Oryzias latipes: one gene and its partners. The protein of the gene in region 3 binds, or shares a complex with, the protein of the main gene of each other region. Links are inferred from orthologs where the notes say so. Each region holds a gene or a part of one and is shown on either strand. Other genes may lie near its edges.

Evidence for each region.
Region 1: the proteins of pola1 (region 3) and prim2 are in contact, whole or in part, in a cryo-EM structure (PDB 8G9F), measured with the Xenopus laevis proteins. The link is inferred for Oryzias latipes from reciprocal best matches to the Homo sapiens genes POLA1 and PRIM2. Residues at the interface, in NP_001082055.1 of Xenopus laevis: Leu842, Lys853, Ile894, Pro895, Glu896, Leu971, His974, Arg977, Glu978, Leu981, His982, Glu985, Gln988, Lys989, Asn991, Glu993, Asn1007, Asn1009, Arg1101, Asp1102, Glu1106, Gln1109, Glu1221, Asp1224, Gly1225, Asp1227, Ala1229, Leu1230, Met1233, Trp1234; in XP_018121015.1 of Xenopus laevis: Pro34, Pro35, Thr36, Glu37, Asn38, Ile39, Ser40, Leu41, Ile42, Phe44, Glu45, Ile49, Ile107, Phe110, Ile111, Leu114, Cys117, Gln118, Ser119, Glu120, Asp121, Arg123, Ala240, Arg241, Leu243, Val245, Val246, Gln247, Arg251, Leu252.
Region 2: the proteins of pola1 (region 3) and prim1 are in contact, whole or in part, in a cryo-EM structure (PDB 7OPL), measured with the Homo sapiens proteins. The link is inferred for Oryzias latipes from reciprocal best matches to the Homo sapiens genes POLA1 and PRIM1. Residues at the interface, in NP_058633.2 of Homo sapiens: Tyr439, Ala440, Pro447, Glu448, Lys449, Ser450, Phe876, Thr877, Thr878, Gln880, Leu906; in NP_000937.1 of Homo sapiens: Asn92, Thr93, Val94, Lys95, Leu96, Gly97, Ala98.

What each region holds. Positions count from the first base shown.
Region 1 is NC_019873.2:24,455,596-24,463,622, reverse strand, and holds part of prim2 (DNA primase large subunit), read right to left. Parts: intron 3,121-8,027; coding exon 2,994-3,120; intron 2,852-2,993; coding exon 2,769-2,851; intron 638-2,768; coding exon 569-637; intron 1-568. UniProt on the Homo sapiens protein: Regulatory subunit of the DNA primase complex and component of the DNA polymerase alpha complex (also known as the alpha DNA polymerase-primase complex) which play an essential role in the initiation of DNA synthesis.
Region 2 is NC_019865.2:19,070,695-19,078,237, forward strand, and holds the end of prim1 (DNA primase small subunit), read right to left. Parts: intron 7,013-7,543; coding exon 6,954-7,012; intron 6,754-6,953; coding exon 6,644-6,753; intron 6,563-6,643; coding exon 6,471-6,562; intron 6,390-6,470; coding exon 6,257-6,389; intron 4,437-6,256; coding exon 4,367-4,436; intron 4,295-4,366; coding exon 4,188-4,294; intron 3,957-4,187; coding exon 3,858-3,956; intron 3,783-3,857; coding exon 3,763-3,782; 3' UTR 3,540-3,762; downstream 1-3,539. Other genes in the region: naca (nascent polypeptide-associated complex subunit alpha), read right to left, coding at 2,204-2,273. UniProt on the Homo sapiens protein: Catalytic subunit of the DNA primase complex and component of the DNA polymerase alpha complex (also known as the alpha DNA polymerase-primase complex - primosome/replisome) which play an essential role in the initiation of DNA synthesis.
Region 3 is NC_019878.2:15,177,548-15,186,207, forward strand, and holds the start of pola1 (DNA polymerase alpha catalytic subunit), read right to left. Parts: upstream 5,696-8,660; 5' UTR 5,572-5,695; coding exon 5,523-5,571; intron 5,290-5,522; coding exon 5,162-5,289; intron 4,067-5,161; coding exon 3,970-4,066; intron 3,894-3,969; coding exon 3,819-3,893; intron 3,720-3,818; coding exon 3,604-3,719; intron 3,432-3,603; coding exon 3,369-3,431; intron 3,283-3,368; coding exon 3,181-3,282; intron 3,114-3,180; coding exon 2,981-3,113; intron 2,911-2,980; coding exon 2,766-2,910; intron 2,302-2,765; coding exon 2,129-2,301; intron 2,013-2,128; coding exon 1,900-2,012; intron 1,062-1,899; coding exon 948-1,061; intron 852-947; coding exon 777-851; intron 689-776; coding exon 550-688; intron 383-549; coding exon 228-382; intron 51-227; coding exon 1-50. Other genes in the region: pcyt1b (choline-phosphate cytidylyltransferase B), read left to right, coding at 7,298-7,336. UniProt on the Homo sapiens protein: Catalytic subunit of the DNA polymerase alpha complex (also known as the alpha DNA polymerase-primase complex) which plays an essential role in the initiation of DNA synthesis.

The DNA of each region.
Region 1 (8,027 bases), on a different chromosome or scaffold from region 3:
AACATTTGAATAAGAGAGGAAATATTAATATTTGTCTGAGAGAAGTCTCAGAGAGGAGTCTCACAGTATTAAACCTTTAACAATATTTGTAAAAAATAAAGCTAATGATGGAGGTTATTTTTAGAACATAACTCCCTCAATAAACGAGGACCTGCAGTATTTTAAAAAATAGCATGTATTTAGAGGTTTTATTCAATTTCAAGATCAAATATTTCTCTAATAATCTAAAATCAAAGTGTATTTTTTAATGTAGTTTTAGGCACTCGCATCAGTTCGGGCAGACACGACAAAATATGCAAAAAGGTGTAAAAACAATCATCTGAAAAACATTTTCAGGCACAAATGGAATTGCAGCCACAGGATACACCGAGGTTCACTTCTTGCTTATAGATTTCCTCACGACATAAAATACACCGGAGAGTCATTATGAATCTATAAACATTAAGCAGCTATAACAGTCAGCTAATGATGAATTCAGTAATTCTGGGTGTCGCCACGCATTAGATGTTAACTGAACCCTGCAGCACAGGTAGCCACGGTAACAACGATAAAAATGGGCCATACTTACATTATGTGTCACCTCGAAGTATTTCTGGCATGCCAGCTGAAAATGCATTCCTTTGACCAGCTCCATTATCTGCAACAAAGGTAAAATAATGCTCCTTAAATAGTGTGTTCAGAGGACCCTGAAGTCTGCACTCAATGTCCAACGAGCCTAAAAACAGAGACAGAGCTGGGCTCAAAGCTAATGACGCTGAAGTTCACGTACAAGATGTAATATCCAGTTCTTGTGTTTCTGAAAGAAGGAATCAAAAAGTTTGTTTTTAATGTCAAATTTTATTTTTTGGAGTAATAAAAAGCCCACTTTTGTTCAGTTTAGAGACCCACTCCGATAATCATGTTTTTGGTGTTTTTAAGGTTTTCTTGCAACATTTTTCTGATGGAGGACGTATATAAAGAAAATGAAGCTTAAAATTTCATTTCTGAGTATTACTTTATTTAAATCGTTGTGAATCAGGGGCAGACAAGAAAAGGCTGCTTAAAAAAGAGCATATTTGAGACGCAGAAAACACTCTGGGTGGGCCACATGTTCCCTGCTCCACTCCATTCCAGTTTGGGGTTTTGGCAGCGATGAGTCATAATGAGAGCTGAAAAAATACCCTAAAGGAAATCATTTCAAATATAACAAATCTAAAATGCATCATGTGTTGATGTATTTGTAGTCTGAGTCAACTCCAGCAGAAAGTTTGTTAGAACTTTCTTTCAATTTTGTTTTATTAATCATACTTTTATTACTTTTAATTGTTTCTATTAATGTTTTATGTAAAGCACATAATGACTTTGTACAAGAAATGTGCCTTGCCTTGTGACTTTCTCAAAGGTAAACTGACTGGACTTTTGGTCTTTTGCACAGTCCTGGCCTCCTTCAGCAGCATTTACACAGTAATTCCACACCTGTGGTTTACTTGGCTCCTTTTCTGAAGCTGAATCATCAGAAAAAGCAAAGTCTGCAGCTCTTGCTGGATCAGGAGCTCTTTTAGTCTACCTTTGGTTCTTCAATAATTCCCTGCATCACTGTACGACGGCCTCCAGCACTCTCTGCTGCAAGGCTGCTGTTAGATAAGTAATGAGTTAAGCAGTCTCAGGCAGATATTGCTGTTTTATTTTAGTTTTAGAGCAGTATGAGACACAAACACCAGCTGTTCTGTCAATTCAATTTACATTTTTCCCTCATAAAAGAAGGACAAATATCATTGGAACGTGGCAGCAGGGATCCACCTGTTTTGGGGGATTTTGGATTTTGTGCAGCCTTCCAGCAGTCAATGCAGGTGAGACATTTGAAAGCTACATCACCAAAGCACCAGAATTAAGTCGTTTTGACAACGTCCTTTGGTCTATGTGGGAAATATTATTCATTAGGGAAGAGAGGGGAAAATCCTTAGAAGTAAAATCATCTCTTCCAGCATCAAGATGATGTTGATTTTTATGGCTATTAAATCAAATAGTCTTCCTTCATTTGCATGGGGAACGTGAAGGCACCAGCAAATAAAACGCACAAACTAGGAAGGCCTGACGAGGATCAGAATGCAGAATTATGGGTCATTTAAAAAGAGCACTGTGATATCATCCTATGAGGAGTTTAGAGGACTAATGCAAACCGAATGACACGATGTTAAGAGGGATTGTTTACATCAAAAGGTAATCAATGCTTAGTGAACTACAGTCTCAGTTTAAACCAAGAAAGTTCAGCATCATCACATCAGCTGTTGCTTAGATACAACCAGCACGTTTTTATTCCATAACGAAGCCAGTGCAGAAGGAAAAATAATACATAATTATAATCTGCCCAATAAAATAATATTTTCCTTTTGTCCAGTAAATGGAAATCTGCTTGTTTTGGACTCCATGTGGTTTGGTTTTCAGCCTGGTGTTCGTTCTCCTGCATCCTCAGTGAAGGGAGAGCTCTCAGAGTGGTTTGGACCTGTTTTTTACGTTAATATTTCCTAAAATTACATGGCGCAACTTTGGCAGCAATTTTAGTTAAAACCATTAACATTAAAGCAGAGCTTGATCAGAACTGTGGCTAAACAAATATTTGATCAAAACAGATTTATTGAGAAAAATCCCATTTTGTTTTGGGCGACTTTGATGGTGTTGGAGATAAAACGTAACAACCAAGATGTTCTGAGCAGAGAGCAGGATGGCTGTGGTGGCCACAGGGGAAGTGGAACAAACAGACAGCATTAGCATAGAGATGATGGCCCCACCTGTGTTATACTGCTGGGAGACACCTTGTAAAACTGAAGCTTCTGCTTTAGCAGCTCTGGGTCGCTGTGGCGGAACGGACATCCTACCAAAATAAAAGAACTAATTTAACTATCCGATAACATACAAGACCAAAGGCACGAAAAAAAAATGCAAGAACACAGAAAACGGTAACAATTTTTGTTTTTAGAATGTTTTAATAGTTGGCAGAGAAGCTAAATACTCACCATGATGGTCCCCTTGACTGGGTGGGTTTGATAAAATCACCTTCATGCAACTGTACGGCGTGTAGTCCGCTCGCTTGCCTTCTTTGCCGTACATGTGACGGATGCCATAAGCATATGCTTTATCAAACTGCGAAGACAAAAATGAGCAGAAGAGACGCCAGACGTGAGGATGAGAGCAGCAGAGGGGCAAGGTTGGGGTGAAAACGGACATCGCCGTACATCAGGTCTGCTTTGACAGGGTGTCCTGCTCCATGAAATATAGAGCTATTAAAGAGGACCTGCTGTACAGGTGCGGCAACACGTGAGTCTGTGAAATTACCTTAATTAGGTCATCAGTCTGTGCTTCAGTCTATTGTCCTACACCCCTTTTTAACCCACTGCAAACAGCTTCCACAATGAAAGCAGTTTAATATGGGAATAGTTGCAAAGGGTGCTAAAAAAAAAAGTTTCTCAACTTTTGTCAAATATAATCAGAAACATCAGAAAATTTAGAACCAATTTCACGATATTAGATAATGATACTTTGCCTTAGTTTTTATTTGGTTTTAGGTATGTTACTAAATTAAATGGAAGGTGTCCTAAAAAGAAGTAAGGAAATACTGTATTTTCCGGACTATAAGTCGCCCTTTTTTTCATAGTTTGGCAAGGGTTGCGACTTATACTCCGCAGCGAATTAGAACTAAATTGAAATAAATACATTGTTAACCCTCCTGTTATGTTCATTTGTGAGGAACAGAGATGATGTTCCTGGGTCAATTTGATGTATGAGGTATGTTAAGTGTTAAGAGGATGTTAAGTGACTCAGAGAATCAGCAAACCTTTTTTTACAGTAAGATCTTGAAGGCTAAAAACATAATATTCTATTTTCCAATGATTTCATAGATTCAGAAATGCAATAAAAATGACAACTGTTTCTACAAACACAGGATGAAAACAGAGTATTAGTTGGCCAATGATGCTTCATGAAAGGACAGTCTGCTATGATTGTGTCATATGAGGTAGTGCAAGTTATTAGTTCTTGGTCTCAGATTTTGTCAAATAAATTTCCCGTCAAAATGCGACTTTTAGTCCAGTGCGACTTCTGTGTTTTTTTTCTACTTTATAATGCATTTTTGGGCTGGTGCGACTTATACTTCGCAGCGACTTATACTCCGGAAGATACGGTAGTTCAGATCAGATCGACTGATGCTCATGAGCTTAAAAAGCAAACAAAGGCGTTTCTGAAGAGTTCTGACCAGTTAAATTCCTATTTATTTTTAATTTATTATGGCCCGCAGCATATGGTCTGCAAGGACCATATTCTTTTTTGTAATTCTTTTTTACTGTGCCTTTGAGCAAAAGCTTGACCTCCGCCACATACAGTACTCAAAAACTCACTAAACTTTGGACGCATCTGGTACCCGATGAAAATGAATTTATTTATGTAGCCCAATATTAAAACAATAGTCGCTCAATAGGCTTCATACCAGTAAATGTATAGTAAACATGAAATCATAATGAATATGAAGTTATAAAATTCAATAGGTAATGGCTAAACTAAACAGACTAAACTTAGATCCTCCTTCTCAGTAAGGAAAAACTCCTTAAAAAAGCCTCAGGGATGTCTACATGAAGGAGGGATCCTCTCCCAGGACGGATAACTAAACAAAAGCAGTTGAGTTAAATCGGAGCTAAACTAGAATAACCAGCAGCCGACTGTTGCTGCGGTAAAAAAGATCAAATTAAATAAAAAATACAAAAAATAACATCAGTAGGATCAGAATATCCAACTAACTTTCTTTTTTTTAATTTTCTCTTTTTTAACCATCGATCGAGTCGGCCACCAGTTACCCTACTTATGCTTTCTTGTTTGTTTGTTTTTTATCCCCCCCCCCCCCATCTGTTTTCTTAAGCCGCTATATCCCTTTCGGGGTCACGGGGCTGCCACCGCCTGCCGCCATTGACCGGCGGGCAGACGGGAGCGCAGTGGCAGCAGGTAAGTGGGGATCCCTCCGCCTCCTGCTCTGGTTTTTATTATTTTGTTTCATGATTCCCTTGTCTCTTTAGACGAGCATGGACTTTTATTTATTTATTTTACACCTAATAAGAGGGAGGTCTACTTTTTCCCCCAGCACTTCTGGATCCAGAGCATTGTTTATTCGATCAGCTGTTCTGGCAACAAAAAAGGCCGCCCGACATCACTGTTATCCGCTTTTATTATTATTATTACTACATAACAGGGCTTTGCTTAAAATAATTTCCCTTCCAATTGATCAATAACATTCTAAAAATTTTAGTTTTAGTTTAATACATGAGGCTGAAAGCACACGCTCACTCAGTTGAATTGATGTTTCGGGACCCGGTGTATATGCCTGTAACCCTGGGCTGTGATGTATCTTTGGGGAACATTTTGTATTTAAAGATGAGTAAGAGTCGTACTCGGACCAAATCGTATTTAAAATAGACATATCAAACGTAAAACTAAATGGCGTATCCAGATTTTTTATTTTTTTTTAGATTTGTATTTATGCATCTGTTTCTTATCAACAGTCACCTTACCTCATAGAAAGTGTGTTAATTTTGTAGCTTGCTCAAGGAAACCCCAAAACAGTTTGCTTACCCAAACAAAAAGACGAACTTCTCCATTTAAAATTCCCACACGTTCCATTTTTCAAATGTGATGGTGGTAGTATCATGGTTTGGGGACATTTTCCCTGATTATTATAAATTTTGGTAGAATTTTTCAAAAGTCAATTCAATTCATAAGAAGTCTTGTATTTTTACTGGTGTTGGGACTTTTCCAACATGAACTGTTTATTAAAAATATTTCACACCATGATGACGTTTTCCTGTAGTGATGTTTTTGTCTGCTTATCGAAATCAGTGCAAAAACTCTTTACTCAGAAAAAAAGTATTAGTGGATTTTATTTCCTGCTTAGTTAGCTTTATAAATGATTAAAAATAAACCGGTTTATTAATTAGAAATTTCAACAACAACAAAAAAGTGACACCCTGAACTTAAAACAAATAGCAGATCACTCCTCAATATAAAACTAAAAAACATCACATTTTTATGATGGCAACGGTTTTATAAAGGGCAAACTTTTATTTTAATTACGTAGTAATCATCTTAAACCATTAAAATGTATTTTAGTAACTCTGCCTCTTAAAACTCTCAGTAAAATTCAGCCAGAGCGCTCTCACAAAGGCAGAGCACAATCACAGACACCATTTCATATTAATGTTGCAATAAAACCCTTGAACCTGCTAACATGACAAGCTGCAGTGGCAGTTTAAAACCCCATCAGGTCTTTCTTAACTCTTATAAATCAAATATTAATTCTGAAGATCTTCAAAAGGATTTAAGAAGATATTTCTTGATTTACATCCTCTCACACTATTAAAGGCAAAACATGAAATTCAATGGCACTCAAGGCTGTTTAATATGCATTATGTAGACATAAAAATGATAACTAAAGTTATTCAAAGACAAAGTTGAAATAAAGTTTAACTTTTTGACCTGCAAAAGTGTGCCACGGTTAAATATAGTGACATTGGGTGAATAGAACATCTCAGGTAATACAAAAAAAAACATTTTGATCTCATCGTACAGATAAAATGACAGCAGCACAAAAAGATGAAATCAGAAAGAGGAGAAATTGTTTTGCAAAGAAATAGAAAGAATAAAACCCCATCCATCAAAATATTCAACCTCAAATCTCAAGAAGTAAGGAATAATGCTGTCAATGAATGAAAACAAGGTGAATGTCACAGTAGGAACAGCAATATCAGTGTTCAGCCATTTTAGACTCTATGCTCCAGAGCTCTGATGTGAAAAACTGTCATTTAGTGGAAATTAATTGACTTAAATCTGACATCTGTAAAACAAGCAGCTGAACAGAAGTCGTACCCCGAGGCAACAGCACACCACAATGAGCTGCAAACACACAATCCTCCAAATGAACAGGCTAACTTCTGTGGCAGAAAGAATGAATAGATCAAGTTGATTCCATCAATTTTCTCTGGCCCTCTAGTCTAAGATTACATTGCCTCTTCCTCCGGGCCTCCCTTTCGGCATCGCTGCCTTCCATCTTCTTACTTCTTGCTTGCTGCATACTAATGAGCGCGGCAAAGCCAGAGTGCAGTCGCTGACACAACACATGCATCACTGTGAGCTGGTCAGCACTGTGCTGCTGGAAGACGTAGCATCACACCGGCTCTGGGAGTTACAACACGGCAACGACGGTTACAAGGTTTTTTTCTGTTTGATTCAAAGCACACTTTACTATTTTCTTTACTTAATTTTCTTTTCTCTAAAGGTAGATTTACAGTATGTGCTCAAAGAGTTTTATTGACAAAAAAAGCCTCCTGTTGATGTAAAAGCCCCTAATGAATGATAGATTTAGGGCAGATTGGCCCCATGCTGACCTATTTAAAGTAATCACAAGGACCACAATTACAAAGTAGAAAAGGAAACAAGGTGCTGCAACGTGAACTGAATGAAAGTTTTAAAAGAATGGGGTTACAAAGGGATTCCCTAGTGAAAAATGAAAATTATAATTATATACAAAAGCAAGACGTACAGCTTTGAATGTGCTGCATCAAAAGAGCCTGGGATATGTGAGAGCAAAAACAGCATCACAACTATTTTAGATTTCTTAGAAAGAAAGAAAACATTTTGTAAAAAGAACAAAAAATAAATAAATGGGTAGAAAAGTTTCATTCTTTTCCAAAGGTTTGAGGTTTTGAAATTTGGTTAACAATGTCTCTTAAAGAACAAACATTTCCAATATATAATATAAGATTTTTTTGTGAAACTCCAGTCACTGGGGGGAAAAAACAGATGTAAACATATTTGATGCAGATTTAGGTTAAGGTGGGTGGATATCAATCCATCAATTGATGATTGGTTTCTTCAATTTTTAACTTGAGAATCAAAAAATGGATGGGATTTAACACAAAAGAATTAAGCAGAACCTAAAGGAACAGCAGGTTTTTCAGCTGGAGCACACAAACATGGCTGACCCTGCAGACGGAGCGATCCGACCGCGCCTG
Region 2 (7,543 bases), on a different chromosome or scaffold from region 3:
CAAGCAGGTAACTCAGATAAACCCACATGACCCTCAACAGACAGCACTTGACAAACTAATGTCTCTGCTGAGTCAACTGTCAGTCGCATTGAGACAGCATTTCAAACCTGTCCCTGGGTCTTCCATGCGACTGTTTAAACATTTCTGATTCAGGTCATAGACCTTTTGCAGAGACCTCACAATGACAGCCAACAAAGCCAGGTATATTTGCGTTAGGTAGGATTGAAAACATTCAGGGCAGTGTACACCAAGGGCCCAGAGCGCGGCTAGTCTGCAGCTCACCGCTCCCCCAGGGGTTGGGTCAAGTGCGGAGAACAATTTCCCCATTGAGGGATAAATAAAGTATAAATTATAAATTTAATTAAATTTTTATTTAGGGAAGCAATGCACTAGAAAATCTGTTTGAATTGAAACAGCAGCAGCTAAAGACCATGGGGGGAAAGTTAGGGTGGTAGGGGGTACCAGTTAAATCGTAGCTGTAAAGCACTTAAAAGTCCCGCTTCAATAATATGTTGATCTATTGTGTAAGCATTCCCAATGGTATTTTAATTATGACTGTCATTTTGAGGCAAAATCCAAAAACCTGTATCGTTTTCTAGATCAGACTCTGTGAGGCACAGCAATAGTTCCATAAAAATCTGTCTGCAAGTTGTGTGTGGGACTTTGGCGCGCAAGTAAGCCTCAACAGATATCCCATTATCCCTTTGTTTACACTGTCCTGCTAGCTTACGACCTCTCATAACCCCAAGCTGACATTAGTGGAGCAACAAAAAGGCTCCACTAATAAGCAATATTGGAGCTATCCAGCTGTAGAATTTTGAACCAGATGCCAGCTCAGACGGGGACAACGAAGCATTCATGTATCCACCGTATGTGACTGCAAGTGCATGCATCAGAATGGAGCGGAGCAGAGAGGCTTTGGCCCATCTATTTAAGGTGCTGCATCACAACTGACAGCTTTTGTGAACTGCAATTTTTCATTCTGATTCACCACTTTTTATATAAAGAAATACTCAAATGCAGTTTTAAGCCTAAATTCTTTTTAGGTGTGCTCTATCAGAAAAATGCTGTAAGAACATGTTACTAACACCTATTTTCTTTGGAGTGTTTGGTAAACAACACTTTACTAGAGGGAAATTATTTTTTTGCAACGCTTAATTTACGTTTTTATTAAAGGAGTGCTCTCAATTTCAAATCAGTGCATCTTCCTCAAAGCCACAGGAACTTCGAACATGATGCTTTATCCAATGAACAAGTAGCCATTTCTTTCATTCCAATTCCTAAAAACCTGAGGCACATTGACCAAAGTTTTATAGCAACAAACTGAGCTGTTGCTGAACAAAGAACACTTTAATTCCTTATTCAACCTCTCCTTTCAGCTAAATCAAGGGGCTTAAAAGCAACATCAACTTAAAATGTTTCAACTTTGTTTATACTGGATGACCAATGGATGAGTGTTTGCATTCCCTAAATCACCAGCAGTTATAGCTGTTCAGTAAACTAATAACATACACCCTAAAATAGAGCTTTAAAACACAAATTCAAACTCGAAATCGAGGTAAATCAAAACTCTCTAATTTATGTCTACAACTCATAATACATTGTTTAAGCAAATTTTTCTTAATTCTGTCTAAAAGTTACAGTTTAATTAATGTTGTAAACCTATTGTGCTCCTTATATTTAAGTATACTAAGCAGCACAAATGCCCCACTCCAAAGTCAGTTTTTTTATGTTTGCATAGTTTAAATAATTTCATTATAATTTATAAATACTTGTTTGGTAGTTTTTCATAAACGGCACTGATTTGAAACACACACCACACACAAAAAAAGCACTCAGCGGAGGCAGCATGCAGTCTGTGGCAAATCCCAAGGCCAGAACATGCCATCACAACCCATTGCATCAATGAAAGAGGGGTTCTGGATTAATTCTTTCATTTTACATTACTCAAGATCTTTGGGAAATAAAAGTAAAAACACCCGCGTGCGACCACCTGTTCAGTGTCTGTCAAACTATCTAGGCAGTTGTAACTCAGTGTCTGAGTGAACCCCTTATGACCAGCCAAATAAACGACGATTCCTCTTACTAAGAATATATAGAAGCACTCATTGTAGACGTCTTAACGTCTTTTTCGAAATCCAAGACCCCCACTTCATTCATACTCCATCAAACAAGCATATGGAAATAAGTCAATGATACGAACCAGTTTCCACTTGAGGCTGCTGCATCTCCTGCTCGGTGATCGGGACAGTTTCTGTCGCTTCACCAGGCATTGTTGTCGCTAGAAGACATAATTACACGTAGTGTTTTACCGGCAAATCAAACAGTCGACACACTTTAATCAACACTATTGTTCGGTCATCACAGAACCTAATCGTTTATCGTTATCATGGCCGGTTGAACAGGTGACGAACCCATGCTTAAGCGACGGTTAGCTCCCGCTAAGCAGCGACCGCCCGAGCGCCTGCTCATTCGCCTTTAACCGCCTTTTCCTGCCATTGCCATCACTTACATCGGTAACCAGATGGCTATTACTTTAATAGACGTACATCTGGCATCAAAACGCTCACTCCAAGTCACTCAGTTCGCTACTAAAAAGTTACATATCGTGCTCCCCCATTTTGAGCTGCTTGTCAATGCTTCAGCAGCACATTCTTCACTACAGAGAGGCATTACAAGAACAATAATTCAACCAACGTGATGGTCACATCTCAATTAAACCAGCCAGGTCTTTAGCAAGGGCATACATGTAGGAAAAACTGCCAGATGATATTGGATTTCAAGCGGAGATCCTCACCAACTCGGGACGCTAATTCCAAGATGGCTGTGAGAAAGAACTCCTGACCCCAGTTTTTGCGTAATATCCGGTGGAGCACCTTTCTACTTCCGGTATCATTAGAGGTAAAGTCTGGTGTGCTGTGTAAAAACGTTTCAATTTTTGAATCAAACTTATAGTCTTTTTATGCATTAAAAACAGCCTTCTCTTCGTAGAAAGCATTGAATATATCTAGGTTAAAAAATTTGGGAACACATTTTGTCATAGTAAATGTTTATTGTAATCTTTTAAAGAGGCTTCTTTTTGTCATTTGAATCAAATTTTCTGTCAGATGGGTTTGGCATGCTGGGAATAAATTTACACTATAGAAATTAAATATTAAGTATTTGTAAGAACTTTTAAAAAATGTTTTGTTAAAAATTTGGCTCTGCAAGCTTGCAAATAATGAACCTCAGGGTGCCTGTTTTTTTCTTAGTTCAGTGGTTCTGATCAAAAATGATAAAAATTATACCAACTGTGCAAATAAGTTAGTATGGGTGTCTTCAATAATTTAGTCTTAGTTGTGGTCATTTGACACACGCTTTTATCAGTTATTTAAATTGGTTGGTAAAGATTATACGCCCTTAAAATTTTTGTTCACTTTAGTTTAGGAGACACCTGATAAAGAGACATCCTCACAAACATATCAAAAATATTTTTGGAAGTGATTAATACTTTGCACTCTAATCAAATCCCTGTTTTTAAATAAATCAATCACAAAAGGTTGAACAAGAGCTTAAATTTAATACATTTTATTGAATGCCTCACAAATATTTATACACCAGCAAAATGTTGGAAAAATGTAGAAAATTACAAAGATTTGATACAAAAAGATATCAAAGTCACAAGAGTCAAATGCACAAATGCATAAAGCACTACACATCCATCACCACATGTACTAACAGACAGTAAAATCTGTTATTTTTAAAGCACGAGTTTGATGCCTGTCAGAATTCCATTTGATCATCTGGAAGAAAGAAAATTCAGCAAAATGAAAAAAAGAAGAAGAAAACATGTTTTAGTTTGAAAAATGAGAATTTACCACTCTTTCTGAGAAGTTCTCCCTTCCAGGAACGAGTCATTCCATCCAGGAAAGAATCAAAGTATTTCACATACTTTGCCAGGCTGGTTCTTTTGTAATCTGAGGAGAAAAAAATGACTTTTTTTGGTTTCTGTGTGAGTTTTAAAAAATACAAACTCTCAAAAATGAATGATAAATACTCTCAATAGGAAAGTGGTACGTTCTGTTACTTTACTTGTTACAGTAGCCCCGTTACGTAAAGCCCATCAGTCGTTACCTTACATTTTTTACACATAACAGCGTACATATTTTAATGGCAGGGCATATTTCAGTATTCTTGTCTTTGAGCACCTCTCATCTTCCGAGTCTCAACTGCATCTTTCTCATTTTCTTTGTCTTGGGATTCCTCCGACTTTTCCTCTTCTGTTCTGGGACGATCCAGCTCCTCACAGATGCGACTTTAATACAGCAGAGGCCTCGTTAGTCTTCCTGCATCAAACACACTGAGGGATGCCGAATTCTTCCCTTACCTGATTGTAGGCACAACAAATGGATCAAAGCTGTCTACTTCTTTGAGATCTATGGGAACTGAGATCCGACCTGAAAAAAATAAGAAGTGTTTTATCAGTGTATTATCAGACTACCGGTAGTTAGTATTCAGAGATTATTTAACTTAATGTTAATGGGTTTGAAATATAAATTAATAACTATTTGTTTTTAGTAGGCTGCGAGAAGTTGAAGCTGGGGTAGCTATGGTGCTCTGGGGTTCTGTAATCTTTTCCCATCTACTTCTACCCTTCCTCTCCTCCATTATTGATCATCATTCATCATTTAGTTCTCCATGCCTCTGTTTGGTGCAGTGCGATTCATGTATTGTCCCTCTTTCCCTCTCCCCTCCTGGGGATTGGGAGTGCTTCCAGATTCCAGTTGGCTCATCCGTGCTCCTATTCCTGACCGAGTACCTCGTCTCTGCTCCTGTTCCTACACCTGGCTGTGGTTCTTGTCTCAGGCTCGACTCGCGCCCCTGGCTGTCCCCCCAACCACGGCTGGATGAAGCTCGTCTGCTGGACTTTATATATGTAGTTGTAAAGTTAGATAAGTTAGTTCTTCTCTATGAGTTCTGGTAAATCGCCTGTCCGTCCTGGTGGAGGATCCCTCCTTCATGTGGGCACCCCTGAGGTTTCTTCGTTTTTTCGAGTTTTTTCTTACTGCGAAGGGGGGTCTAAGGGCAGGGATGCCAGTCTAGCTTAGCTTAGTTTGTTAGTTCATTTTAGCATTTTCCTATTGAACTCTTTGTATTCATGATCCTTTTGAGTTCATGTTTCACTTCGAAGCCCATCGAGACGACTGTTGTTGTGATTTTGGGCTATACAAATAAAATTGAATTGAATTGTTTTATTTGCTCAATTAAATTTTCTTCCCAAATCTTTTTTTTTTCATGCTGCATAAAATAAAATTAAAATCTTCTTGAAACTTCTATTAGTTCTTTAATCAAATTGCTGTGAATCAGGAGCAGACGACAAATGTTTAAAAAAGACCGTATTTGTGACAGAGGTGACAAGCTCCCTGCTTCGTTCCATTCTGATGCATCCACTTGCAGACATTTTGGACCTCTTGGTTTTCCTCCTCCGAGCTGGCATCTGGCTCAGAACTGTGCGACTGCATTGCTCCGATATTGCTCACCTTTTTCTGTACTGGTAATGTTGGGTGGAGGTGAATTTTTAATGAAATACTGCCCTGCCGCTCTGCAGAAACTGTCGTAGAAAACAACAGTTTTGTTTGTGTGTGGCTAAAAACGGAATACCGATAATAAAAAACCACTGGGAGCACTTTCCAATGGACAAAAGATTATCTGAGTGGGTCTTTAACAAAACAAAAACAATGACAGAAGTGTCTGTGTCCAGATGAAACAACCAAAAGCTTATTGTGAGTCATTTAAGAGCTCAGGAAGTATTCAAGTTTTACTGGAATATGAAAAAAAAACAACCCACAGACTGCTCTGTCTTTTGTTTTCATTGAGCGCAATGCTAAACTGCAAATATAACTGAAAGAATTTGGTGAACTCTTGAATAGTGTAATCCAATATAACAATAAAGGGGCAGGACAATATTCATCTTCCAAAGCCCAGTAGTTCATCTTGTCTTCTATTTTATTTCAAATAGTTTACAACAGAAAGCGTGCAATAGCTTCAGTTATTTATTTCAACAACAGTCACCATTCCAAAGAGAGCTAATTATTTTAAGTAATAACAAAATATCGCATCTTTAAAGGTTTGCTTTTAATCCTTAATTTGAAAGTTTGACAGTTGTTGTTTTTTACATTCTTGTATGACATTTGCATTTTTGTCAAATCTGGCTTCATATTTATATGAATTTGTCTTAATGACTGCAAACTTTCTGCTCCTTTTAAGGCATAATCACCTGTTTTGGGATGGACACTGAACGGACTCTTGAGCAGATGGTTCACCCCTTTGCTGACGTTCACGTCGAGCCGAGGGTAACAGTACTGCAGCATGATTTCTTTTTCAAAGTGTTGGCCTTTTTTCACAGTACCCTAAGAAAAGAAAAAAAAACAGACGTCCTTCTGCACAAGAAAAAAAGATGTTATAAAATAAACCTATAGAAAAGTACAAACCTGCTTATTCTTAGCTTCATTTTTTATCATTTTCCAGAGTTTTTCTGGTTGCTTCACACCTTTCATTTTGGTCTGCAATTCATTTCTGACATGTTTTTGTGTATTAAGGTTGTAATTGTTTTATCTTATTGGCTCATATTAACACAAAACTTGTGACTTAAAAAAAAGGATATCTTCAGGCACAAGGGCCAGCACTTTGTCCACACACTCCTTGCGACCCAGTATGTCTTGGTCCTGCACCGCGTATTCCAGAAAGTATTTCTCCACCACTTCCAAAGATGCACTGTTAAGATTACAAATGTGGGAAATCTGAACAAACTGAAACCTAAACAGAAGAAAATGTTCAATTCTAGTAAAACAGAACAGTTTGATGCTTTAAAAATGGTTAAAAGTCTCCAAAAATAAAAGATTCACACCATTCACTGATGTGGGACTGCAGATAAAAATAGAATGCGTTTGAAACATTAAAATGTGGGTTATTACCTGATAAAGGGATGAATTGGATCTGTCAGGACCACTTTCTTCACCGTCTCCTCACCGCCCTACGAAGCAAACATGAGTTCAATAAACAGAAACTGAAAAAGAGAGATTTACAGGAACTGCATGAAAATGTATCAACAATGTTCCCTTATTTATGGAAGTTTTTTTTCCACCCATAATTCAAAATAATATTCAATTCTCAATCAACAATTAAATTTGCAATTTGATCATGCAATTTAGAAACGCATGTGGCAGATGAATATACCAAACTGACAAATGTTTTGCAGTTTCTTTAGAATTTTGACAGAGAAATATCACGGCAAATAGAAAAGCAATAGAGTTTATGTTAAATTAGGATGAATGTAAAACAAACAAGTAACTGAAATATATATATTTTTAATAGTGATTTATAAACTGGAAAATGTATTTTCAATATGCATATCCAAATTCCACATTGAATTATAAATTGCAAAATCCATTTTTACTTGTAATTTTAATTATGGTAACAAAAACCTATGACTAGTGGTTTTTATTTCAAATTACATTTTTAAAAATGTAACATTGAATTCTTATTTTACATTGAATTTACATTT
Region 3 (8,660 bases):
GCTTTGTCCATGTGGAAGCCGTAGTGAAGGAGGGCAGCGAGGGACACAATCTGCAGAAAAAAAACCTTCAGCTGCGTTTCGGTTCCCCTACGGCTTTGCCACACACAAAAAAAAAAATAAAAAACCTCCAACTTATTTTAGCAAACAACTGATCCTAATGGAACGCTATTAAAGACAAAAAAGGCTATTCGAATCCCAGTTGAAGGGATTTTCGCTGGAACTCTGACCTCGTTGTGGTGCGTCTTTGGGTTCTGCACAGTCTTGAGGCTGATGGACATGACCGTGAGCGGCGGAGGTGGCAGGTCTTTGACTAAAGAAATGGTGTCGCCCCTCAGAGCCAGGACCTCCACCTTACACCAGCTGACCGGCTGGTGCATCATCTCTACCGCAGACAGGGTGGACATGTCAGAACTCCAAACGCCCAGCACTCACGTGAACATCTTTAGCTACTTGAACCGCGCATGACAAAAGAACTAATATCTAGAGGGAGGTTATGCTTTTGAAAATTCCACCATCAACTCCAGAGATTTCCGTAAATGTCTTTCTTACGTGGTGTCTTGATATCCAACCAGCAGGGGCCTTTAATTTTCCTGCTGAGGAGAAAGTGCTCCAGACTGGAGGTGTTCGTTCCAAAAATGTGGGAGAAGGTCGCCCCCTTCAGGTCGGGCGGCAGAGCTGGAAACTCGGCCTTCAATAGACAAAACACACAAAAAAACGTCAAACCAGACTGTTCCGGCTTTGAGCGACGGCGTCGAAGGAGGCAGGCGTTTGCTCACAGAGTATTGGATCTGCAGGTATTCGCACTGATTGGGAACATCAGGAATTTCAAAAGCGTAGTTCTTCTCCACTTTCTGCAGGGAAACAATTTAAAGAAATGTATAATCCAAATCCAACAGGACAAAAACTCCTTAATGCAATAGAGATGACAGAGAGGGACAAACACCGACCTTTGATTTGAACTTCATGACCTTAAATTTCTCAGAGAGCTCGCTGAATTCTTGGTAAACGTCCATCATTCCTACAGGCTCGCCAGACACTTCGCCGGTTTTGGGGTTGGTTTTCTGTTGAGTACATTCAATAAGAGTGGAGAATTTTGAAACATGTTTGAGTTTACCAACATTTAAGCGGATTTTCAATTTAAAAGCCAAACAAAAAACAACGGAAATACCTGGAACTGAACAAAAACTTAACATTTTTTATTACGTTTTAAGCTACTTTTCTGGACAGAATGAAAGATTAGATTTGATTATTTTAGACTGTATATCCCTGCACCGAATATGTGGGGGGAAACAATGACTTCCTGATTGAAGCTCACGTACAAACAAAATCAGCTGGGGCTGAGTTAGTTCTCCAAATCCACTTCAATTCGACACATCACCAACAGCGAAAAACACCGTCAGGTTTTGGTCTCTATGAATCAGTTGAGCTTTTGAGAGGTACAACTTATTACCTTTGTTTTTTTTTATTTATTTATAACAAAATCAACTCAAAAAAGGGGGCGTGGCTTTTTTGGCTAACGCACTTTTAAACATTGTGCTCTGTAAATTCCTTTGGCTACTTAGTCCCACATATTTGTCCAGTTTTGGAAACAAATTGAAAAAGCTGTATTTGGACCAGTACTTCATCAGACAGAGTGATAGTACTCATGGCATATAAACATGTGCTTTACATTAAAGGGAACTTACGGGATGGACTATTGTACTGTGGAGCCATTTCTCTAAAGATTGAATGATCCTTTTATTTTGAAAGCTGTTTTAACAGACTTCTGTCTTGCAGTTTTTCCAGATTGTTTGTCACCGGTGAACGTGATCATGTCAGTGTCCAATAAAATGTACTAAAAAGGTTCTACAACGTTTTCTTTCGTTGACCATGCATGAGTGCAAACACAGTGGCACTCACGTATTCACGAGGTAGAAGGTAAATTGTCCGCTCGATGTTCTTGACGGTGACGCAGCAGCTCACGTGAGACTTTGCCGACTGAATCCACACTTTCCCAAACAGGTAGACCACACCTGAGCCACGGCCAGAGATAAATATTAGGACAGGCACCATAAACCTCCGCCAGATCTCAGACTTTGAAAAGAAGGAGGTCTTCTTCTGATTCATAGCAGGTTCCACCACGACTTACCCGGTTGGTTGTAAGGGTCTTCAAAGGCGTCCAGCCAATAAAAGCGAAAGGCCGGCTCTCCGTCCTCACCCTCCACCAACGGCAGCTGGCTGGAGTCCACATGCACTTCTGCGGGGACGTCACTCGCTCCAGTCTCCTCCTCTTGACCCCAATGACCCCCAACTCTGGAGGGACTGCAACAAGAAGAAAAACTGTGAAGCTATTCATCGAAATCAAATACTGGATTAACAGCAAAGGAAGCACTACGTGCTTGTTTTCCATGAAGTACAAATCAAATCACCTCGTAATCATAATGGCTACTCTAAATTTGGCGTAGCTGAAATCTGGATCAAAAGTGTACGGCTGGACAGCTCCAATATTGCTAACTATTTTTGTTTTACTGCTAATGTTAGGTTGGAGGTGTGAGGGGCTGTAAGGTAGCGGGAGAGCGTGTAAACAGACCAACAACCACAACTCCGAGGGGAGTTTGTAATGAACTACTGCTGCTCTGCAGAAACTATGTCCTAGAAAACGACACAATTTTTTTAACATTTTTGCTAAAAAACAACATGATCATAATCAAAAGACCACCGGGAACGGTTTAGGAATACTACTAAAAAAATGTTATGAGGAAATCAAGAAACCTGGATTAACTTACAGGGGGGCTGGACTCAGGGGCTCCTTCTTTGGCTCAACTTTAGGCACTGAGGGTGCTGCTTCAGCTTCTGTCTCCTCTTTGATCTCAGGCTCCGTCTCCATCGGTTCATCAAAATCCACCTCGTCTAATGCCAGTGAGTCGTTCTCTGAGAAGAACATTGATGATACAGTCACGCTTAAAAACAACAAATGCCAAAGAGCTGGAGTCTTCCTCACCTTCTTCTTCTTCTTTTGGTTTTTCCACCTTTTCACTGCTTTTTTCCAGAGGGGGAGACGGGCAGGCCGGCGGTCTGAGCTCTGCAGGTGGAGGACGGACGGTTTTAGCCTTTAACCCCGTCATCGGAGACTCCTAAAACGACATGAGTGAGGTTAAGCGGTCAGCTTCAGACATGCAGAGTCAAGAGGTGTGGAGGTACCTTAGGCATCTGATGTCTGATGGAGAAGGGGTTCATGGGTGAACCCAAAGACTTCTTCTTCTTCAGCGTGATCACTGGGGGAGGAGCCAGAACCGCTGGTTTCTGGAGTATAAGACAACACATCGGATGAGACGGAGACAGGCAAAGATTGAATTAAACAGGCTTTTTTATGAATTTAAATTACTGACCTCAGAGTGCAGGTCCTGCAGAATATCTCCTAACAGGTCGTCTTTGGATAAATCAATATCTTTCTGCAGGATGCAAAAAATGACAAAACTGTGTGTAAACAAAACTGTAAATCCAGTTGATGTTTTTTTTTTAGAAACTATAAAAGGCCAAAGTGGATTCTATAATGAGGCAGAATAAAGATATTTATACAAAAAAACTGAAATTATTATCATTCCAAGAGAATAACCTACACACCTCAGCAGGCTTTTTCACATTACTGTTCATGAAAAGGCTCTTTATGGTGTTGGGTTTGGTTACTGCAGCTTTCTTCACAGTTTTCTTGGACTCCGCTCCCTTTGCGCCCCCTTTTCCTGCAAACAAAAAAAACAAACAAACTCAAATGTGTTTCCACAGATCTGACATTTGAGCTCCTACCCTCAAAACTGCAACTCCCTCCGACTGTTTTTTACCCCGTTTTTCCACCACGTCGTCGTCCAAATCGTCATCGAAAATTTCTCGTCCGTCCTCCACATATCCCGTACCATCTAACAGAAAAAAAAGACCATCTGGGTTTTTTGTTTTGTTTTAAATTTTTCACGACGAAGAATAACTGAGTTTTACCATCGTCGATAATCCAGTCGTCTTCCTGCCTTTCTTGTACCAACTTGGAGTACTGCTCCTCATCCACCTCCTCGTACACATGACTAAACTCCTCCACCTGGAAAAACATCAACGGGTGTCAAACAAGTATCAAAGTAGAATGGCACAAATTTGTCAAAACTCACATTGGATGTGTTCAGACTACCACAATAACAGACTACATGGTGTGGGGCTATCCAGTGCCCTGGATTTTAACACAATTCAGAAATTGTGCTCTCTGCTTGTTTTTGCCAAGGTAAAAATCTAGTAAATATGAACATTTCACAAAGCTTATTGGTGAATCCACTGAGTCCTAATGACGAAAGCTTACATGGTTTATAAAAAGATACATTAAAATTGTGTTTTTAAATGACAAACAGTTCAAAAACAATGAATTGCGGTCCATATTCTCCAATCGAGTGAGCATCAATGCACGCTAGTTTCTCACAAAGACTTCTGGAAAATTTCCAGGACATTGGATTTAGGAATTGTAGATTGGGACAGCCCAACAACAATCTTTGATCATTTTTTATGAGAAATAAGCCGCCGTGGGTTCCTAAAAACGTCCATGACACGAACCTCTCTTTTTCAGACAGATCCATTAAAGTGACGGTAAATAATGGCATCTTTGGTGTCATGGAGAAAAATCAAGCTTTTTTGAGATCTTCGCTGATTTGAAGTGGAATTTTAATTTTAAATAATATCAAAATGAATATTACTAAAGTAATTATTTTGATAGAAAAAGTCTTAGTGATTAACACCCAATTACTTATTTTGTAGAAGACTCAGAGTCTCATAATCAGCTGATAAGTATTTTCCCACCTATTATTACAGACATTACTTGATTTTGATCTTTTTAAAACACATACATACATATAAATAAATAATAAATATATGGAAACGCTATTGCTGCTCACACTTAAGTGAAAGTGTTTAATGTTTTGATAGCAGAACAAAACTATATGTGCATATAAGTGATGTGTTAGACTATTTTCTAAAGTTTTTCTTTAAATGATAATAAAAATAAAGGGAAGGGCTGTCTTTTAATTTTCCTGCTTCAGGTTTTCTAGATTGACTTTATTTTGTATTTTACTTGGTTTTTCAAAATAAAATACACGAAAACAACACTTCAGTGACAAAGAACCAGACAAAGGAAGAATCTGTCCCGCTTGACCTTGTATTTGATCTTCTCTCCCATCTTGGCTTTCTTTAGTTGCTCCAAAGCGGACTTCCTGCCGACCTTCTCCCTCTTCTCTCGCCTGGAGCGAGATTTGGCCAGGCTGCAGCCATCGCCGCCATCATCTGAGCACACAGACAGACAGACCAACCAAGCTGACATCTCTTCTATTCTTGAATGTTATAATCATTATAAACACACAATGCATAATAAAGACACATATGTTAATTGGATATTTGAATTTAGGGCAAAAAGCTGGCTAGAAAGCGTAAACGTGAGCTAGCTACTAAACTGTGTTAGCCGCGTGCTTCGCCTTCTTCGTTAATTCTAGCTAGTCACAGACTCCCCGCAAACTCACCACTTCCCGCAGCGTCCACGTCTTTCTCTGGGTTTGAAACTGGAGACATAACTTCTAGTTTAAGTCTTTATTGGCTGCCCACTTCAAGCCGTGCAAAGAGGGGACGATGGCAGGTCAACAACAACAATACAGTCGCGCCAAATGATCTTCCCGGGGAAAGTCATATGCAGGAAGTGACGTCATACCCAACGACATCCTGGCTTTTGATGCGCGCAGCTATCTGTCCACTGGGTGGCAGTGTTGCTCAATGTGCAATTAGCTCTTGGGTTTGGTTTTCAGGAAAACAACTGTGCTTTTTGTGATGTAAACATAACAGATCATTTGTTTTATAAATGTATACATGTAAAAGTTTTTCCCACACAGGCAGATTTTGGTGAAATAAAGAAGCGATTGTTTGGATTTTTACTCAGATCTGTTTGATAGAGTTGAGCTTTATGTTCCAGAACTGAGATGAAATTCAGTTTGATTTCTATCAGAATGAAACTGCAAAGCTTTGTGCTTCAGTGGATCAATCAGACATTAAACTCACTCTGATTCCAACTTCATAAAACCTATAGCAAACAGAACGTGGTTTTCATGAATCGATTTAACTTTTTTTTTGTGCTCTGAATGTGAGATTGCTGCAGAATTCTATACAAAGCCAAAGTGTGGTAGCCTACTATACTAGATGCAAGACACATGTTTATGAATAAGCCAAAGAAAGGAGACTGGAACCAGATTAAAAGCAAAGGTTATAGGTTATTATGGTCCTCCTGATTAAAAAAAAATCACATCATATTTTTCAGGTTTGGGTTTCATAGTTAAAACTAAGGGTGCCAAAAGGAAAAATAAAATAAAAATCCTCTAACTTGCATTACTGTAAAATTCTTAATGTTGTAAACATCAACTAGTAAACTACTTCCAGTTCCTCTTTTGTCACTAAAAATCTCTGAAATTCCTTCCAAGAAAATTAAATATTTATGTAATTATATTATTAATAAATAACAATATCTTTCATATATGAAATAAAATGTAAAATATGCAATTCTAAATTTGTGTGCATAATTTATTTTAAACTCTTATTCAAAAAAGGACTCTGTTTTATGACAGCAGAAGAATGCAGTAATCTTTACATGATGAAGCCCACGCTCTGCTAAAAAATATATGTTTAAAAAGATCTTAAAGGTCAAATTAATCATGTTTTTTTTTCACGATTGTTTTTTTACTTCTTCTTTCAAATTAGTTACCAATACGTTTTTTTAAAGCCAAGACTCTCGCTTCTCCCTGATTGGTTCGTTTTTTGGAGCTCTGTCATCTTCGTTGCCATGGAGAAAGCTCTTCACAGCCTCACCCCTTCCAATGCTCTTCCGATGGGCTGCCATCACACAAAGATCGTCTATTTGGATCGTGGTGTACTTGTGCCTCGTAATTGAGGCTATTTCTCCTAAATATTCAATTTATAGTAACAATTTTTGTTTAAAATTTTAGATAGAAACATATAGAACAAAAATAAACAACACATGATGTTTTTTTAAATCAGATATTAAGCCGCGTCTAATCAATTCAAATAAGAAAAGGATGTTGTGGTATCATAAAAAAAGATGGAGTGAGGCTCATCACATTAGCCCTCTTTTTTGCATTGAGTCGTCACGGGGAGGAGTCAGAGGGTGAGTAAAGGACACAGAGTGGGCGGGGCCAACAGAGGAGACAGAGTGAGGAGGAGAGAGGCATCGTCTCACTGATGCTGAGTCACATAGCAGATAGATCTCTGCTACATCCCATGAATCTGAGGAATAATGGAGGAGCTTGAACACACCTGCCCTCATCCCCGAACGGTAGGGCATCTGTGACTGGCTCTGTTTTTGTCTGTAGGTTTGTGTGTGTGTGTGGGGGGGTGGGGGGTAAGTGTGACAAAGACTGGGGAGGAGACTGGGCATCTTGTGTTACCCCCTTGTTATGAAACAGATGCTGTGCAGCCTCCTGCTGCTGGCATTCACAGACTGCTGAATGGACAATGTTTTTGTCTGCTGTCTTAGTAAAAACAGCTTTACTAAAAGGACAAACGCCCAGTTTTTCAGAGACTGGGACAAAGACGATATTAGTGCTTCTAATTTTCCCTCTTTGGTATAATTCCTCATTTAAGTTCATCTCCATTTTGTCTGTGCTTCATTTCAAACTGGCCACTCTTGTAAGAAACTCCACATTTTCCTGCCTTTGCTACCCTCTGTTTGTCTTTCTGGATTTAATCCTTCTCATGCCAGATGTTCTTTGTTTGTGCCAGAGTCAGCTTTACAGAGCGTGCTCCCATCCTGATCTCCAAGTTTAGCCTATAGTATTTGCTATTTGCTAAATTGCTGGATTCTAACTGTTCCAGATGATTCAGAGAAGAGGCGAATCCTTCCTTAATCCATCAGTGTAACAGAAAAGCAACAGAAATGTGTTGTATGGTCCACCTGGACTGTGGTATATCCCACATAATTTTTATTTTTAAGGACAATGGGGCTGGGTTCTCATGAGTTAACACATTTTTGTTGTCCTCCTGGTTAAAAGATCAAATCAAAATTACACCAAAGAGAAGACAGCATGACAGGAGTCGTTCATCTTTCCCAATGATTATTACATTTGTTGCTTTTGCAAATTATTTTAAATATTTTCTACTTAAATAAATCCAGTTTTATAAATATTTCCTCAAATTTGAAATTTGAACTTTGCTTTAAGGACATTACACCCTTTTTGTGCATCTCCTTGAAACATTTGTGCAATCTTGCTGCAAGGCTCGGGCAGAAGGTGAAACCAGTTTTCATGTACGCCGATGACAATGTGTGCTTCAACTGTCTCACCTTTATTTAATCGACACAAGCACATTTTATGGTGAAATTTAGTGTTCAGACTGATAGCAAAGCATTTTTTCACACCTATTTTTTAAGCCTCATGAGTGCATCTTTCACAGATCTTAGTGAAACTTCCTTACAAAAGATCTCACAGGTTTTTTTTTCCCTCAAAACCTTCATGATTACTGACATAAAAACACCGTACTCTCTGTTGAACAGTTAAAAAAATGCGGAAAGATGCAAATCTGTAAAAATAAAACAAATCAATTTCAGAAAAAGTATGCTAGTTAGTAAAAAAATAAAAATTGTAGTTCTAGTTCTGGCTCCA